2 linked regions of the Canis lupus familiaris genome follow. The protein of the gene in region 2 interacts with the protein of the main gene of each other region in a biochemical or structural test. Links are inferred from orthologs where the notes say so. Each region holds a gene or a part of one and is shown on either strand. Other genes may lie near its edges. The genes, in order: SEC13 and SEC31A.

What was found.
Region 1: the proteins of SEC31A (region 2) and SEC13 form a complex in vitro, tested with the Homo sapiens proteins (2 studies listed by BioGRID and IntAct, with this or other methods). The link is inferred for Canis lupus familiaris from reciprocal best matches to the Homo sapiens genes SEC31A and SEC13.

Annotation. Positions count from the first base shown.
Region 1 is NC_049241.1:8,130,104-8,139,835, reverse strand, and holds part of SEC13 (protein SEC13 homolog), read right to left. Parts: intron 5,386-9,732; coding exon 5,252-5,385; intron 4,824-5,251; coding exon 4,700-4,823; intron 3,819-4,699; coding exon 3,672-3,818; intron 1-3,671. UniProt on the Homo sapiens protein: Functions as a component of the nuclear pore complex (NPC) and the COPII coat. At the endoplasmic reticulum, SEC13 is involved in the biogenesis of COPII-coated vesicles.
Region 2 is NC_049253.1:33,159,516-33,169,980, reverse strand, and holds the start of SEC31A (protein transport protein Sec31A), read right to left. Parts: upstream 5,582-10,465; 5' UTR 5,437-5,581; intron 1-5,436. UniProt on the Homo sapiens protein: Component of the coat protein complex II (COPII) which promotes the formation of transport vesicles from the endoplasmic reticulum (ER).

The sequences.
Region 1 (9,732 bases), on a different chromosome or scaffold from region 2:
AAGAGCATTAAACTAAAAAGCTTCTGCACAGGAAAACAGTCAACAGTTGTGAAAAAATGTTTGCAAATAATACATCAGATAAAGAGCTCATATCCAAAATGTCCAAAGAACTCCTAAAAATCAATATCAGAAAGTCAAATAATCAAATTAAAAAATGGGCAAAAGATCTGAATAGAACATTTCTCCAAAAAAGAATCTATAAAGGCCAACAGGTACGAAAAGGTGCTCAACATAACTTATCACTCACTGGGGAAATGCAAATCAAAACCACAGTAAGAAAGATTTCAACCTCACACATGTTAGAATGGCCATCATCAAAGAGATAAAAACACAAGCACTGGCAAGGATGTGGGGAAAAGGGAACTCTTGTGCACAGCTGGTGGGACTATAAACTGGCACAGCTGCTATGGAAAACAGTATGGAGGATCCTCAAAAAATTAAAAATATTACTGTATGATCCACCAATTCAACTTCTAGATATTTATCTGAAGAAAATGAAAACCCTACCTTGGAAATATCTGCACCTCTATTTCACAGTACCATTACTTATAATAGCCAAGACATGGAAATGACCTAAATGTCTACCGACAGATAAATGGATAAAGAAGTTATGGTACATATATCCAATGGAATATTATTCAGGCACAAAAAATGAAATATTTGAGACCACATGCGTGGACTTTTTTTTTTTTTTTTTTAAAGATTTTATTTATTCATTCATGAGAGACACACAGAGGCAGAGACACAAACAGAGGGAGAAGCAGGCTCCATGCAGGGAGCCCAACGTGGGACTCGATCCCAGGTCTCCAGGATCACGCCCCGGGCTGAAGGTGGCGCTAAACCACTGAGTCACCCAGGGTGCCCACATGCGTGGACTTTGAGGGCATTATGCTAAATGAAATAAGAGAAAGATCAACACTATATATCTCATTTATATGTAGAGTCTAAAAACAAAACCGAAAACACTCATAAAAGATCCAAAACCAATCACAGAAGAGTTCAGATTTGTAGTTAGCAGAGCTGGGGGTGGAGGGTCAAGAGGTACACACTTGGAGTCCTAAGACATGGAAGTACTAGGGATGTAATGACAATAGCTCACACCACTATACGGTCTATATGAAAACTGTGAGAGACTAAATACTGTGAGATGAGAGGAGTTCTCATCACAAGGAAAAACTTTTTTGCTTTCTCTTTTATTGTACCTATATGAAATGATGGATGCTAAACTTACTGTGATCATTTCACAGTATATGTAGGTCAAACCATTATGCTATACACTTTCAACTTATGATGTAAGTCTATTATATTTCAATAAAACTGGAAAAAGAATATTTTAAAAAATAAAAACAGTGGAGAGGGGGCAGTGTTGGAAATAATTCTGTAACACAAAGTAACAGTAATAGTAGTAATAAATAATAATGTGAACAGGAATGTCGTTTTAACCAAGTTGCTGTAACTTCTGTGAGGATACAGGGGAAGAGAACAATGGTTCTCAAAGCGTGGTCTCTAGACCAAGACATCTGCAGGACCAAGAACTTGTGAAAACCACAAATTCTTGGGTCCTCACCCAGCTGAAATTCAGAAGCTCTGGGGTGGGCTTGGCAATCTATGTTTTAACAAGTTTAATACTAAAGTCTGAGAAGTATGCTAGAGGAAGATGACAGATGAGTATGTTATTTCTACACTGAAATAAGCAGCAGAAGAAATGCTAAGCATCGAAAAGGTTTGCTCCTGGAGAATGAAAATTAGGAAACTACATTAATAAATCATAACCTAATAAAAACTACTTAAGCTATGTACATGTATTTGATTAAAAAAAAATTTTAAGAATTTCTGCTTTATTTATTTATTTTAAAAAAGATTTATTTATTCATGAGAGACACACAGAGAGAGGCAGAGACACAGGCAGAGGGAGAAGCAGGCTCCATGCAGTGAGCCTGACATGAGACTCAATCCCAGGTCTCCAGGATCAGGCCCTTGGCTGAAGGTGGCACTAAACCGCTGAGCAACCGGGGCTGCCCAAGAATTTCTGCTTTAGAGACAGATTGTTGACTACAGATGCACTGCACAGAATGCTCTAGACTGAAAATCTACCAAGTCCTTTAGTGAAGGAATAAATACTATGCAAACAATAGAGGTGAGCTCCTTGTAGGAAATAGGCTGATAAAGATCAAGAAGTGCAAAAGAATAATGATAGCAGACTGCAAACACGGAAAGTACAACCAGGCACTCCCTACTGCCTTGTAAACACTACAGTAGGGCTGCTCCTCAGTCAAGTCAGGGTCTGTTGGCCTGTTCTGGGTGCCATCAAATCTGGGGTCTAGTCCTGGCTCAGGCACTTACTAGAAATAAAAAGAGGGCTAGTTTTCTTTGAGGGTCACTCTAGCTCTAAAATTCTATGGCTTTAAGACAGGGCCTGCTAGATCTTTCTGGAATCACTACACATGAAAGGTATCCCCAGCCTGGATAAAAACTGCCTGCAGAGGATCTCAAAGGTGTGTTACTTGTACACCCATGTGCACAGCATTACTGATAAGAGCCAAAGGTGAAGCACCCCAGGGTCCCTCTATGTATGTATGGATAAATACAATGTGGCAGAACAGAGTATGATTCAGTCTTGAAACAGACACGTGGTACAACAAAGATGAGAACACTATAGGATTCCACTTACAGGAGGTCCCTAGGGCAAATTAACAGAGGCATGAAGTAGGAATGGTGCTTACCAGGGATAGGGGTGGGTGGGGGTTAGTGTCCAGTGAGGACAGAGTTTCAGCTGGGAAAGACGAACAGTTTAGAGGTGGATGGTAGGTGATGGCTGCACAATAATGTGAATGTTCTCCAAACTACTGAACTATACACTTAAAAATGGCTAAGATGGGGAAACTTTATACGTATTTGGTCATGATTAAAAAAGCTGCCTTCAGAAAGGAAGAGGTAACAAGTCACTGCCATCTCTCTAGCTGACCCCTCTCCTCTTAGGCAGAAGATCTGTAACTTTATACGGCAGGGTTCAATGAAGTGGTCAGAATTTTTCAAGTGCATTTGCTTTGTTGCTATAATGTTCCTGAGCTACTTTTTGTTTTACTGTTTTCCAGTGGCCACTTTGTCTCCATGTCTCTCTTCCTTTGTACGGCTCATAGTGCAGAAAAGGTATACATACAGTGGGTGAATAATAATACCCATGAATTACACAGATTTTTAGAAATATGCCTCTTTGGTGTCTGACAAAAACCTTCAATCTTTATGCTTTTGTTTATGAGATTTTTTTTTAATCTATTAACTTTTGAGCAGTGCTAACTGAATGTCATCATGAAGACAAGGTGGTAAAATGGTGACAGTGATGGACTACCAGGGCAGTGGGTTTGGATTTAACTTGGGCCTGATTACAAACTCTTCCACCTAATAGCTTTGTGGCCCCTCTGCAAGTCTAACTACCACTGTCAGCTTCTTTCATATTTGCAAAAGGGGGGGACAAACCACCTCGGGACAGTAGGTGGAGGGGGGAAGGGCAGGGGATTGTAAGATTTAATGATATATTTAAGAGATGTGCTCAAAACAGTCTTCATTAAGGCTCCTTCGAAGCCTAACCTTATATGGAGAATTCAACTGCACTTTTTAGTGGGTGAAGACAAACAAAGCCCTGACCACCATGTCATGGAAATGGACTGTACCTTATTGTCTCCGCCCGAGACAGCCAGGATGTTGGCTGTGATAGACCAGCTCACATGCCACACAACATCATTGAACTTGTGCAACAGTTTGGGTGACCATGTATTGCCTGAGGTGTCATCACAAGTCCAGATGAACACACGACCGTCCTGGGAAAAGACAGGTTAGAATCAGGGAAGGTAAGGCAAGGATCTTGAACTGGGGATATCCTCTCTATTTAGAGCCATATTGGACTTTTGCAGGAATGAGGTGGGATTTAGCACAATGCACAGCCAAGACCGTCCTGGGTGTGCACAGATGTGATGGCCAATTTCCAGCCCAGCATTATCCCTTTACCCCAGGAACATATTTTACATTGGTTGTGTCTCCCAGGTTCTTGTGCTCATACTGGTTTCAGGTATGAACTTTATATGGCTAACTCTAAAATGTTCTCTAGGTTTTCCTCATGTCTGCCAAATCATCTCGTTTTGCCTTTGGCTCTAATTTTCTCAACCCAAGGGGTATGGCTGTCTATAAACCAAGCTCAGAGAATGAGAAGGGACAAGTTTAAAAAGTCCTCAAATTTAGAACCAAACATAACAGGCTCAAGTGAAGCCTGGCTAACCTTTGTCTATGGTGGAGTTAGCATATAATTTAAGGCTTGTCCTTGGTTTTTCCTTTGTGATCTGTCTGTGAAGACTGATCTAGGTGAGCCCAAGATCCTAGGACTTCCAACTATCCTGGTCCCTGCTTGGGAACACTCTCAGAATGCACCTGGGCAGCTCTCTTCACCAGCTGCATAATGCTGAGGGGAAACTGGTCTGGAGTTGGCCCAACTCATAGCTCAGTGGAGGTAAGCCACTTGTGCCTTCTGATCAAGCCTTCTCCACAAGATGACCTGGCTCCTAGCACTGTCCTACTTGCACTAGTCCAGAGGTGCCTGTTGCCTTGCCCTTACCTTTTTAGACTTTACCTTAGGGGGACTGTAATGGTCGATGGGACTTACTCAGAGATTAAACAACACGGGAAGCTCTCATGGATCTGAGCTGACCTGGGAGCAACTGGCGATGGTGCTGGTAGGCAAGCCAATGGAGGGGGCCCAGGCCACATCTCGAACCCAGTCACTGTGCGCTTCTAGTTTCTGTTCCTCCTTCCACTGGCCATCCTCCTCCTCCCTAACAGAGGAGACAGAAAGGGAAAATGCAGCAGCAGGTAGCAGCCCAGGTGTGTTTCCCACACCTCCATTGTACCCCCACCCTGTAGGCTCTGCAGGGGCCAAGAAGCTATTCCATCTTTTTGATTTCATTCCTTGACCTTGTAGATTTTTACTCAGTTCATCAGCTATAGAAGAATATTCCACGAAATGCTGTTTGTCCACAGCCAATGGCTCCAAGAATTGGGAATCAGGTAAAGAATTAAAGTACTTGAGCAAGGCCAAGTTGTTTTTAAAGGATGTCCTCTGACAGACTGAAAACCGTATTCTGTAGGCAGGAGGGGAAAAGAAGGGGATCCCATTTCTTCAGAACTGTGGCTGAGTCACAGTAGATAGCAGGGTAGAAGGTAAGAAGTGTCCCCTTGAGGGAAGTCCACCACACCCACTTACTTCCACAGTTTGATGAGGTTGTCACAGCCACCCGAAGCAAACTTCTTGATGTAGTTGGGCTTCTGTCCCGATGGCTGGTCTATAAGGCTTCCAGGTACAACAGCAGGGGCCCAACTGACGGCGTTGCAGCCAATCTGTGAGGAAAGGGTTGGGGTGACTGCCCTTTAGCCCTGCAGCAAAGCCCTGCTTCTGCAGACTCAAAGCTGCAGTGTATCCCCCTCCAATTCTCAGGACAGGATTATGCAGGACCACTGTTTTGTTTTGTTAAGGATTAGCCCCCATAATGCTCCTTCAAGGAGTCCTAACAGTACATGTATTTTTTTTTTAATTTTTATTTATTTATGATAGTCACAGAGAGAGAGAGAGGGAGGCAGAGACACAGGCAGAGGGAGAAGCAGGCTCCATGCACCGGGAGCCCGAGGTGGGATTCGATCCCGGATCTCCAGGATCGCGCCCTGGGCCAAAGACAGGCGCCAAACCGCTGCGCCACCCAGGGATCCCAGTACATGTATTTTTCAGCAATATACATTTAAAGTAGGAGTTAGGGACTCCCCAGGAATTTTTAAAGAAACAGAACATTAAAAAAATATAGGAACAGAAAGCACAGGTTCAGAAAAACATGCAAAGTTTAATGAAGTACTACTCTAAAGCACTCTTGTAACCACTACCAGTTCAAGATATCAAATTGCCATTTACCCTGGAAGCCCTGTCATTATGTCCCACCTGAGTCATAGCCATTCTTCCTTGGCAACATTTTCCTGACTTCTGATTTCTTCCTTTTTTTTCCCCTTCAGTTTTGTCACCCAAATATGCATCCCTAGATACTATACTGTCTCACCATTTAAATTTTTTAATTTAATTTTATTTTAAAGATTTTATTTATTTATTTATTAATGAGAGACACAGAGAGACAAAGAGGCAGAGACACAGGCAGAGGGAGAGGCAGGCTCCATGCAGGGAGGCCTACGCGGGACTCGATCCCAGGTCTCCAGGATCACGACCTGGGCTGAAGGCAGGCGCCAAACCGCTGAGCCACCCAGGGATCCCCAATTTTTTATTGAAAAATTTTTTTTACATCTCCTTATTTATAGATTCCCCCTAATCTTTTTTTTTCCTTACCATTTTTTTGTTGAAGAAAGACCAGTCATCTGACTTATAGACTCTCAGGCTGATTTGCTATTTCACACTCAGACCTCTGAATTCCTAAAAATTGTCAGCTGGATCGCAGACTGGGTCAGAGTCAAGTTTGACTCCTTTGTTAAGACTGCAGGCAGTAGGATGCCTGGGTGGCTCAGTGGCTGAGCCTCAGCCTTTGGCTCAGGGTGTGATCCCAGAGTTCCTCGATTGATCGATCGATCGTATAAGGCTCCCTGTGCGGGGCCTGCTTCTCCCCTCTGCCGGTGTCTCTGCCTCTCTCATGAATAAATACATAAAATCTTCTAAAAATATTAAAAAAACACTACAGGCAGTAAATTATTCTTACATTGGGAGACAAATGACATCAGGTTGTCTTTTTATGGTATTAGTACCTATGAACAATTTATGCCTCTTTTAATTCATTGGACATTACAAAATGGTGATATTATATTCATTTCTTTGTTATTTATTATATAGAATAATCTAGACAGGGGAGATCTCCCTCATTCATATTTGGCTCCCCATGGGTACAGATCAGATTGGAAATGTAGGATAAATGTTTGACACATTCTTCAAGGATGAATGATTCTATTATTTTTTATTTTTAAAAATATTTTGTTTGAGAAAATGAACAAGAGAACAAGCAGGAAGTGTGGTAGGCAGGAAGCAGGAAGCCTGATGTGAGACCTGCTGCTCTGGGATCCCAAGACCCTGGGATCATGACCTGAGATGGAGGCAGATGACTGAGCCACCCTGATTCTCTTTATAAACTCATGGTTTTAAGCATATTTGATGGGTTTCAGTTCACTGCAATTATTCTTATTTTTGACACCTAACTGTAGTACGTGTTCAAATTGGCTCCTCTGACTTAACTATATCAAAATATGTCTTTGATCATTTCTGTTAGAGGTATCACAAAATGTCCCAGGCTTATTTCATACATTTCCTGCCTCAGACCTAAGATCAGCCAGTTCCTCAAGAATTAGGGTTTCTTTTAGTGAGGAACTATATTTCAAGACTATAATCTGGTGCTAGGGATGCTCACTGCCACATAATTATTTTATCTCATTTCATATTCAACAGTCTCAGTTACTGCCAATACAATAAGTCTAAACATTTAAAAAAATGTTTGCAGTGTTCTCCCCATTCTCTGCCATAGGTTTTTTTTTTTTTTTTTTTTTTTTGGGAAGGAGCAGGGTGTTTAGTGTATGGTTACCAACATTAAAAGATCCTAGATCTCCAGCTCTGCATGTGCCCACTTTAAAGAAAAAAAAAAAAAAAAAAGATTTATTTATTGAGAGAGAGCATGCAAGTGGGGCGAGGGGGAGAGGGAGAGAGAGAACTTCAAACATACTCTGCTGAGCACAGAGCCTGATGCAGGGCTTGATCTTACCACCCTGAGATCATGACCTAAAAAAGCTGAAATCAAGAGTCTAACCCTTAACCAAGTGAACCACCCAAAGCCCCATGCCCACTTTTTAAACAGCTGCCTGATACCTTAACAGAGCATATAGCTATACTCTGCCTTATAACCCTCATTTAGTCTTAGTTCTCTACAGTTAACTATATTTGATGTCTTTCTAGTCATTTTTGTTGTCTGAAGCTTATTCTCTAGTAGATACCTCAGAAAGTGCTCATGGAAACAATAGTTTTTGAGTTCTTGCATAGCAGTAACAGTCTGTTTCTTTCTACTCCAAAATAAAATTTTAAGAACAGCTTTGAGGTATTATTGACATTCATTGCTCATAAACCGCACAATCTAATGAGCTCTGGCATTGGTATACCCTGTAAAATTACCACTATAATCAAGATAAAAAACATGTCTCAAAGTGATGAAAGAAAAAAACTTCCAACCAAGAGTACTCTACCCACGGAAGTTATTCAGAATTGAAGGAGAGCTTTCCAAACAAGCAAATAATGAATGGAACTCATGACCACTAAGCTTGCTTTACAAGAAATGTGAAAGCAGGTGGTGTCTGGATGGCATTCAGTTGGTTAAGCATTTGCCTTTAGCTCAGGTCATGATCTCAGGGTCCTGGGATCAAGCCCTACGTTGGGCTCTCTGCTCAGTGGAGAGTCTGCTTCTCCCTCTCCCTCTGCCCTTCCCCCCCAATCTGTGCTTTATCTCTGTTCTCTCTTTTTCAAATAATCTTTGGGGAAAAAAAGGGAAATGATAAAGGGTATTCTTTAAGTTGAAAAGAAAAGGTGCTTATTAATAACAGGAAAACATATGAAAGTAGAAAACTCACCAGTTAAGGTAAATATGTAGTAAAAGTACTGGCCTAATCACAAATAAAGCTAATATGAAGATTAAAAGACAAAAGTAGTAAAAATAACTACGACTATAATAATTAGTTAAGGGATATGCAAGATAAAAAGATGCAAAATTTGACCTCAGAAACATAAAATATGGGTGGAGAGTAAAAATGCATTCATGCATAAGTTCTTGCCAACTTCAAATAGACTGTTATATATTATAAATAAATATCAGCCTCATGGTAACCATAAAGCAAATGCCTACAGTAGATACACAAAAGATGAGAAAGGAATCTAAGCAGACCAAGAAAGGAACATAAACGGGGGCACCTGGGTGGCTCAGCAGTTGTATGCCTGCCTTCGGCTCAGGGCATGATCCCAGGGTCCCAGGATTGAGTCCCACATCAGGCTTCCCGCGTGGAGCCTGCTTCTCCTTCTGCCTGTGTCTCTCATCAATAAATAAATAAAATCTTTTTTTTTTTTAAAGGAAGAAACAAAGAAACTATAAAACAGAGAACAATTAATAAGAATGGCAATAAGTACATACCTATCAATAATTACTTTAAATGTAAATGGTCTAAATGCTCTAATCAAAAGACAAAGGGTGAATGGATGAAAAAACAAGACCCATCTACCTGCCACCTAAAAGAGATTCACTTCACACCTAATGACACATAAGGGCAAACTGAAAGAACTGGAAGAAGATATTCCATGCAAATGGAGGGGGAAAAAAAGCTGGAGTAGCAATGCTCAGGTCAGAATAGATCTCAAGCTGATCAAGGGTTGGATGCTTAAATGGCTGAGCCACCCAGGCGCCCTGAGAACAAACTTTAAAACAAAGACTGCAACAAGAGACAAAAAAGGGCATTACATAATGATAAAGGGATTAATTAAAAAAAATGAATAAATATAAACACATGGAAACTAAACAACCAACAGATCAATGAAAAAAATCAAAGGAATAAAGAGAAAAATGAAAATGGAAACATAAAGGTTCACAATCTTTGAGATGCAGCAAAACGAATTCTAAGAGGAGAATTTATTGTGATAGTCTACCGTGAGAAAGAAGAAAAATCTTAATCTAAACC
Region 2 (10,465 bases):
TACATGCTAGCGAGGGGCAGAGCCAAGATTTGTTTTGTTTTTATTTTTATTTTTTTTAAATATCTTATTTATTTATTCATAAGAGATACAGAGAGAGAGAAAGGCAGAGACACAGGCAGAGGGAGAAGCAGGTTACATGCAGGGTGCTCGACATGGGACTCGATTCCAGGTCTCCAGGATCATACCCTGGGCAGAAGGCGGCACCAAACCGCTGAGCCACCAGGGCTGCCCCTGTTTTGTTTTTAAAGATTTTATTTATTTATTCATGAGAGACAGAGAGAGAGAAAGAGAGAGAGAGAGAGAGAGGGAGAGAGAGAGAGGGAGAGAGGCAGAGACACAGGCAGAGGAGCAGGCTCCATGCAGGGAACCTGACATGGGACTCGATTCCGGGACTCCAGGATCATACCCTGGGCAGAAGGTGGCACCAAACCGCTGAGCCACCAGGGCTGCCCCTGTTTTGTTTTTAAAGATTTTATTTATTTATTCATGAGAGACAGAGAGAGAGAAAGAGAGAGAGAGAGAGGGAGAGAGAGAGAGGGAGAGAGGCAGAGACACAGGCAGAGGAGCAGGCTCCATGCAGGGAACCTGACATGGGACTCGATTCCGGGACTCCAGGATCACGCTCTGGGCTGAAGGCAGGCGCTAAACCACTGAGCCACCTGGGCTGCCCCCAGAGCCAAGATTTGAACTCAGAAGTTTACTTTCAGAGTCTAATCTCTTGTTACCCCAACAAATTCAGGTATTTTAATCATAGAACACATCCTAACATTTAGAAGAAATAATAACAAAGCAACTAGGATTCATGGGGACACTAAGAGAAGAAGAAATGGGGGCACCTGGGTGGTTCTTTCAGTTATGCATCTGCCTTGGGCTCAGGTCATGATTGGGATGGAGCCCCACCCCACATCTGTTTGGCTCCCATTCAGCCAGGAGTCTGCTTCTCCCTCTCCCTCTGCTCATGCGCTCTCTCTCTCTCTCTCTCAAATAAATAAATGAAATCTTTAAAAAGAAGAAATGTATTTTAGAAACTGTGCTAGGTTAGGCAAAAGTGGATTAAGGAGGTTCGATCATGTGGTTAAAAGTAATAGGCCTCTGGAGTCAATGCTGGATCTGAATATTGGCTCTGCTACTTATTATGATACACTAGACACATTGTTTAACCTCCCTAAGTCCCATTTGTAAAATGAAGATAAGAGTCACTACCTCATGGGATGTTCTGAAGTTTAAATGAGATAATGTATTTTATATAGGGCCAAACTCAGTGTCCAGCACATAGGTTAACATGGGCTTTAATATGCTATTTTTTAAAATTATTACAAGCATGAGATTAATCAAGAAAACTACACATCTAGTTTCCTAAGGCTGTTCTGAAAAAAGAGGGAAAATCTCAATTTTCTAAGAAGCGAAAAAGCCTTTAAATGAAATGCTCTCTTTTCTCAGCCAACTATTTTTATTAAGAAGTTCAAATTCCAGCTACTTTCAGAGAAGTACCCTAATGATCCAATCCACAATGATCTAAATTATCTCTTAACTGTTTGGACCACTTTAAATATTTTATAATAAAGTGTCTTATTCTAATTTAACAAAACTTTATAACATTCTATTAGTACACACTGTTACATATTTTTCCATTGCCTTTTTATAACCACCTGTTTTATGTCATCGTCTCATTAACTTGACAAATAATGTCCTTTTTTTATTTTAAGGATTATTTATTTATTCATGAGAGAGAGAGAGAGAGAGAGAGAGAGAGAGGCAGAAACACAAGCAGTGAGAGAAGCAGACTCCTCGCAGAGAGCCTGATGGGGGACTCCAACCTCGGACTGAGGATCACGCCCTGAGCCAAAGGCAGACGCTCAACCACTGAGCCACCCAGGCGTCCCTAATGTCTTTTTTTCAATTAAATATTACAACTTTTACCCTTTGTGGAATCAAAATTGCTTAGCTCACAGTAAGGTATAGAAAAAGTTTTGCTTGTTTTATTTTGAATGTTTATATTTAGGGAAATATAAAAAGACTGATGAGCTGGAAAGATCACTTTCAGGTAAAACATTTAATTTTTTAATTCTTAAGTGTTTAAAGGAAAAATAATTTTAATCACTTTAAGTTTTCTTATTTAAAAAATAGGGGAAAGTATCATTAAAGGAAAAAGAGGTTTTAAAAAAATGCTTTAGAAAAAAATGCTTTAGAATAATTTCTAAAAGTGAAAACAAAATATCTATATATATTTTTAAAAAACCCAACTGAACAGAACTATACTATATCTAAGAGCAAAGGTACATTAAAGGTTACCTAATTCATGAACACTTAGTTAATGTGTAACATTTACTGAAAGAGAGAGAGACAAATTCACAAGTACATAAAATGGTTAAGTGGGAATACAAAACATTTATAAAAGTCTTATTTCTTGTCCTTAGCACTCAATGTTCCACTAAATGCAGTTGCACTTATTAAGTTGTACTGAACATAAGACTTCAATACCAACTGTTGTTGTTGTTGTTGTTTAAAATCACTACAATAATGGCCTGGAGCTATGTTAAGTGGTCTGAATTTAATTAAAGAGTAGTAATTTTGTCCATTGCAATCATTCTCAAAACACTAAGAATACTATGGAAATACCGCCTGTGTATTCTCTTAGAAATGATCATTTAGTTGTAACTAATTTTCTTGAAAATCTGAAGGTTTAGATTAAACCATGTGTACTTCCCAAGTATGACATGCTTCAAAAGCCTTGTGCAATTTTTTTCAATATCATATATGATTAGAATTTACACTATGCAGACTTATTTAAGACTATTTTACACAGAACAAAATCATTATGATAACACAAAAATAAAACTGCTAGGACAGTGGCTTGTTCACATGTCATCTACAAGACAATATTTATAGCACAGCAATCTAGGATATGGAGTCTGGAGCCATACCCTCAGTTTAAATCCCAGCTCCACCTTGTCCTAGCTCTGATATGCTCTAAAAGGCATGTATCTTTACCTATGTGTGTCTTGGCTACCCACTTGGTAAAATAAGTATAACAAAAGTCTGCATAAGAAGAGTTGCTGTGGGACGCCTGGGTGGCTCAGTGGCTGAGTGTCTGCCTTCCACTCAGGGCATGATCCCAGAGTCATGGGATCAAGTCCCACATAGGGCTCCTTGCTGGGAGCCTGCTTCTCCCTCTGCCTGTGTCTCTGCCTCTCTCTGACATGAATAAATAAATAAAATCTTAAAAAAAAAAAAAAAGAGTTGTGAGAATTAAATGAGGCATTACGCAGAGGGCTTAGAACAGTAGCTGGCACATAGTAAATACATGCTTGTAAATATCAGCTATGGCAAAAGTCACAATTTAAAATTTTAGTTTATCACAATGAATCTCCAAGAATACCTCTACTGAAGGGGCACCTGGGTGGCTCAGTCGGTTAGTGTCCAACTCTTGGTTTTGGTTCAGGTCTTGATCTCTTGAGATCAAGCCCCACATAGGGCTCAATGCTGAGTGGGGAGGTGGCTTGGGATTCTCTCTCTCCCTCTGCTCCTCCTCCACTGCTTGCTCTGTGTTCTTTCTCTCTCAAATAAATAAATAAATCTTTTTTTAAAAAAAAAATACATCTATTGAAGAAAACTTATTTGCCAGTCTAGAACTTATTTTTTCACCCAAGTTTCTCCCCACAACATGCATGTAGTTAAATGCATGCTATTAAGTGGAAGCTTTTTCCTTTTTGCTCGTTTTTTAACTGCTAATTCTGTAAAGCAGTACTAAAACCTAACAGTTCTATTGTCTGAAAAATACCAAACTTACACTGCTACATATAGAGATGACTCATAACTCAGAAAGTAAAAAGTGGAAGAGTTAATAGAATTGCAAACTCTGACTCTCAAAAAATCCCTAGTTGGCACTGCATTTGGTAAAAATCCATCTTGTGTGGGCAAGTATCTTATCATGGATGGGCACATTTGTTCTAGAGTATTTATTTACTGTTACTGATGTTCTAGACTCATCTCACTCAACCAAAATCAAATCAAAGAACTAACTGCGTTGAACTAAATGCTGGTGTATTTATCTAGAATCTAAGAAGTAAAACTTTTTGACCTGAAATTAACCTAAGAATGACAACATTTCTGAAAACACTGTAAAAATCAATTTTAATAATATCACCTGACAAGAATTAATTTGGGATCTGTAAACCTCATGAAATTATATAGAGAATTCTGTGTGTGTGTGCATTTTTCTAGGAAGGTGATCCAATGCTTTCATCAGATCCTAAAAAGGGAGTGGAATTCCAAAAAGTCAAGAATCACTGCTCTTTCTAATTTCTTTCTACTTTTATGTTATTATTATAAATTATATATTATTGTTTCAAAAAGAACCTGCTTATATAAAATTAAGCAGTCTAATTCTAAATTCATTCCAATCTCACATTCCCCAAATAACTTTGGACATGTATAACATAAATTCACAACTACAAAAACACTTCAAGTTACCCAAAAATTCTTAGTCTACAAACCTTTCCCAGAGCTGTTTAAGAAACAGTAAGAAACAAAGAGCACAGAGGAACCACTAGAAACCTGTGAGTAAACTTTAGCCAATCCCAGAACAATCAGTATGTACAGAAAACAAGGGTCGGTATGAGAAGAGCGAGGCTCTAATTATCTACTGAACAGCTACAAGTGGCGACAGTCAAATTTCAGCATTCTGTAGTTAGAAAAGGCAGTTTTGGGGAGAGGATTTAGCACAGATCATCACTGCAGTTTCACAAAGACCTACATAAAATTAGTTGCTTGGTAAAGTTCATAATGCCCACAAGCCCATGCCATATTTTTATTCGTTTTCCACCTGCCCTGTAATTTAATCTCTCATTACAATAACTTATTAGCAAAAACATACAACACTTAATGAGATTTCCTTCGAGGTGTATATAGGCTTAGGTTGGCGACTATCCTTAAAATAATCCAATCCCGGTTCAATGCCAGTAGCCTTCCGTTGAAAACCTATGAACCCTTTTATCTGGCAACAGTTCAAATACAAACAAAAAATCATAAACTAAATAAAGTCAACCAAAGTGATCCCGAGGCTCGCGTCCTTCCCTCCGCCTCGGGGCCCGCACCTCTTTGTGCACAAGGGTGTGAGTGCGAGGGGCTTCTAACCTCGGACCCCAGTTACCCGCCCGGCACGACCCCCCGTCGCAAGCCTCAGGGGAGCTCCTGCTCAGCAGGGGAAACGTTGGCGGACGTGGATCGGCGCGATCCCCGCAGCAGCCGTGACGCCAGGCTTGTCCCGACGGGCCCGAAACCAAGACCAGGGGCGCGCCGCCACCGCAGACCGGGCCTCAGGCTGGCGGGGACCCGCGGCGGCCGATGCCGCGCACCCAGCTTTCGCCGGTGCTCTACCTCACGGCCCGAGGGCCGGCGAAGAAGACGGGGGGGGGGGGGGGGAGGCGGACACACCTGGCGGGGACCCTCGGCGACCGGTTCCTGTGTTAGCGCGACGTCCGTCGGACTCTCCCAGCATTCGCCGCCGCCCCTCCTCCCGCCCCAGGGCCACCTCCACGTTCCGCTTCAACGTGGCAGCCGCAGCCCCTCCCAGCCGGCCGGCCGCTTCCGGGAGCGACGCCTCGCCCGGCCCACTGAGGCGCGCCGCCTGCCACGGCACTTCCGGGAGCGGCGCAGGCGGCGTCCCGGGCCTGGGTGCGCGCTGAAGGCCGGCGGCGGGCCGGCTCGCGGCGGGGCCTGGAGACCTGCTCTGAGGGACGGCGTGCACGGCCAGGGTGCGGTGACCGGGGTAGGCGAGAAACAAAAGTCTGGCCGGGTGTAGCGGTCGGCTGAAGAACGGCCCGGGCCCGCAGAACGCCACGTAGCGCTAGTCCTGTGAGACGGCGGCGGCCGGCGACCCGGCGACCCTGCCAGCACCGGACAAATCGCGTGAAAATCGGGCTGCGGGGCCCTAATTGCAGTAACTAATTTGCGATTCGCTTTTTAAAATTGCATAGTTGGTTCTACAGTATTATTGCTTTTTTTTTGAGAACTTCTTTAAAGCCAAATGGGCTCGTCAGTCTGTTGTGGACGTATTTGTTCCTCCAGAGGCGTGGCCCGGTTAGTTTAGCATCGTGTGGCACGGTTTGAGATCTACGAAGGTTTGCCCGTACGTCACTGGCACTCCACTAGCTCTGCCAGACCCTGGCATCTAATTAATCTATTGCTTGGATGTTGTTCTTGGTTTAGGAATTGTTTTGCAGCAAAGAAGGGAAAACCAGAGGAAAAACACTTGGTAAACGATCAGAACTTGGATTGAACCCGGGTCTTCCTGCTAGAGCAATTCTCTTCCCATTATTACGCCCATCAAGGTCTCTTTCCTCAAGCTTTCTCTAAAGCGCCTTCACTTCTAACTATTAGAATGTTTGCACTCCCACTACATTTTTTTGAACACCTTTTAATGTCTTATACTTGTTCAATTTGAAAAGCCAAGTTTATTTCTCTAGGACAATTAATAGACTAAACATCACTTAGGCTACAGTAGCTAATTTCTCCTGTTCTACAAAGCCATTTTTATTTAACTGCAAGTTTGCCTAGAGATACCAATAAAAAAGTCTTAAAAGTGGGCTCATGGGCAGCCCCAGTGGCGCAGTGGTTTTAGCGCCACCTTTGGCCCAGGGCCTGATCTTGGAGACTTGGGATCGAGTCCCACGTCGGGCTCCCTGCATGGAGCCTGCCTCTCTTTCTCTGTCTCTATGAATAAATAGTCTTTATAAAAAATAAAAGTGGTCTCATTATTTGTCAATACTAAACTCCCTACTGCCCCAACCTCCAGAGACCCCCTACTACCCAGAAGCATACATTGGTATGGAGAAAGTTTTCATTTGAAAAACTTCACCAAAACGCAATGATTCAAGCAGTAGTTATATTCTTTGGTATCATTTAATGTACATGTTGCTATTAGAGAAGTCAAACTACAAACCTCCCTGCTCCCCATCCCCATTTGTAGGCTCTGTGAGGTTAAGAATGGTATTCCATGAAATGTTTCATAACTGGAACACAGCCACTTTCAGTGATTTATGTATTGTCAATGGCTGTTTTCCTGCTACATGGGCAAAGTTGACTAGTTGCTACAGAGACTATAATAGTCTGCAAAGCCTAAAGTATTTCCTGTATGGCCTTTTAAGTTTGCCAACTCCTATTAGGATTTTACTTACAATCCTTTAATACTCAAAATCAAATGAGACCGTACTATAAATTTCAAAGCCTTGACATAGTAGCATACAAAGGCATTGTGAAAAATGTCCATTGTAACTGGTGATCATAAAGGTAAAGTGTATTTGTGTCTAGACTTAATCTGTTCATAACTGGTTAGAGTTCCTAGCTTGGTGTAAATGCAGGGAGCTCTTACTTGGACTATGCAAACTGACACTTAAAAGCAATGTTAATGGGATTAACAATGATTGTTCTGTAAACCTGAAAGTTATTAAAACATTAAAAACTCTCTTGATGTTAGTTATACACATTAAAAATATTTAAAACAGGGACACCTGGAGTGGCTCAGTGGTTGAGTGTCTGCCTTTGGCTCAGGGCATGATCCTGGGGTCCAGAGATCCAGTTCCACATGGGGCTCCCTGCAGGGAGCCTGCTTTTCCCTCTCCCTATGTCTCTCTCTCATGAATAAATAAATAAAATCTTTAAAAAATAAAAATTAAAACATTTAAAACAAACATTGAAAATTATAGCATTTTATTTATTAAAGTCTCAAGAATAGTTTTAATATTGCTTGCCTTCTCATATAACTTACAATATGGAGCAAGCATCTTTTCTACACCTTGGCAAATTGTCATACTCCTTTCAACTGAGTTTGGATTTGCCTCTAAAATTTATGCATTCAATGTCATCAAATAGGAGTGTTCCTTTAATGTGGTTTTTCACCTGCCATCACTTCCTCTGAAACATATTGATCCTTTACAACACACAACTGCTTTCGTCATTTATAACAATGTTCGCCTTCACTAAATTCTTCTGGCTGTATATGTAGAACTACTTCTTGATTGGCAGCAGTGTCAACATTCCCATGGTCATCTGTATCTTCTAGAACTCCAACTGCATTCCAGCCAAACCTTGTGAAGTTTTTACATAGTAGTCTTGCACTACTGTGCAAAGCAAAGACTACCTGTGATTCTTGGAATATGGGTGCAAATTTCACAGATGCTTCTCTGAGCTTGCAGCTTCACCAGATAGCAGAACATTAATCAATTCATGCTGACTTTGTAAACAATGAAACCAGCCTTTATTATTAGAAGGCAATAAGATGTTCTTTTTCAGTCTACTTGTAGTTACCATTTTCCTTCAGTGCAGCAACTAACCTCAACACTTTGGCCTGAATACTAGCCAAACTGACTGGGATTTATTTTTACAGTCCTCAATCCAAAGGAGAAGTAAACATTCCATTTCAACCATACATGCCTTTCTGTTCCTAGTATAATTTAAACTAAAAAATCTTAAAGCATTTTACCTAAAAGTTCTTGCTTCATCGAACTTTAAAAAGATGGTTCATTTTATAGCTTCATGTAAGCCCAGGTCTTATCTTGTCTTCACTATGCTGTCACCATTTTCAAATCTTCTAATGACATCCAATTTCATTTCTGGTGTTAAAACTTTTTCTTTGCTGCCCAGTCATCTTTGTTGACCAATTCTGTCACATGGGTTTATCACTGGGAAACAAGTAGGCAACATAACTACATGCTTTACTCTGCGTGTGAACTATTAGATGTTCAGTGATCAACCACCAAGAGACTTTGAAAGAAGCGACATAAGTGTTTACTGACCATCTTTTATATGCATAATCTTTTGTGGAATAAAGAGCTATCTGCAAAACTTATGCAACAATCTGGTTACTATCGCGGTAACTGAAATTTCAATCATGTTGTAGAGGGATTGGTGTTATTTAACTCAACTGTGAAAACTGATCTTCAAGTAACTGGAAACAGTGCAAAGTAAGGACTACCTGTATTTAAAAAGAAGAACTTGTATTAGTTCACGGAACAGCCAACTTTTAATCCAATCTAACTACTAACCAAAGCTAGCCATAGATAAAAAACAAAAACTGAATTACTCATTGGAGCTGGAAAAATGTTTGAAGACAATGTAATACAAAATTCTTCATATTAGGATTTGCAGACAGTCCAAAGATATCCTTTTCAGAGTTTAGGCCCCCTTTCCTCATTTCAATAATCTTGAGTTCTGCAAAAGAGTAAAGTCCTGGACAAATCTAATATTGTCCAGATTATAAAACTTTACAATTCTCACAAGGCACAAGGCTGTATGTGTATATAACTTATTCCATACGAGCCAGCACTATGTTTACTTCTGTGTAACAGTAGCATCCATCCCATTAATTTTTTAATTTTGTTTTTGAATGCACTTATTTGTAAATATTTTCATTAAGGCCTATAAAAAAAGTTTTTATCAATTTTATGTTGGTAGAAATTTATGAAATAATGAATTTAAATCAACATTGAGTAGTTGTAAAAATTTTTCTATTTAATATTCCTCAAATTTGTAACACCCCAAGACAACATGCCTAATTAGTGACAGATTAATGTGGTATTAGATTTGAGATTCCCAGCTTTTGACTACCTATGTACGTATCTACTATTCTTGAATAAAGCTTAAGTTATAGGATGGATGTTCACTGGCATATTAAAGAGTCATTTATAGAACATCCAAAAGTTAAGCAAACTTAAACCCTGGAATATATGATATCTAGTTTCATATATTCTAATAGCCCCTATCTATTTCAGGGGCTGAATTACATCATTATTTTTGAGAAAAGATGACCATCAAGGTTACAAGTCCTGACCCCAGCTACCAATTGCCTACCCTGAATCAAATCTATTGATTTAGAAAATTATATCATCTTTGAAAGCTGAAAGCATAAGGAAAAAAAAATTGAGTACGATATTCACATTATGCTCAAATATCAACTGTTTGCTAAGATCTGATTTTCTGTTCATCAAATTAACCTCTTACCTTTCTATAAAAATGTTCACTGTTTATCAAATCTGACACGTGATGTTAAGAAAACCGCCCTTCAATTTCATTTCTAAAAGGAAAAACATTATTAAATCAACATACAAAAACTACATCTGTGCTTTTCTTCTCCCACTATGATTTTCTTTTTCCATTATGTCCTCATCCACATACATTAATCACAACAAATCATGATGTGAACAGCAGTGGAAAAAGTTTAATCATTGGACATTTGTATTTTTTTTCCTATTTTCAACTTAAGCTGTAATCATAAGGTTTTCACGGTTTAGCCCTTTCTATAGAACACATAATGCACATTTCTTTAAATTTTAATTATCATAAATTCCCCAATTTTACTGTGATTGGGAAAAAACTCATACCAAAGATAATTTCAAGTGCATTATCTATCTACTTTGTATAAGATTACCTTACACTAATTTAGAAATGTCTTCTCAACGTTAAGTTT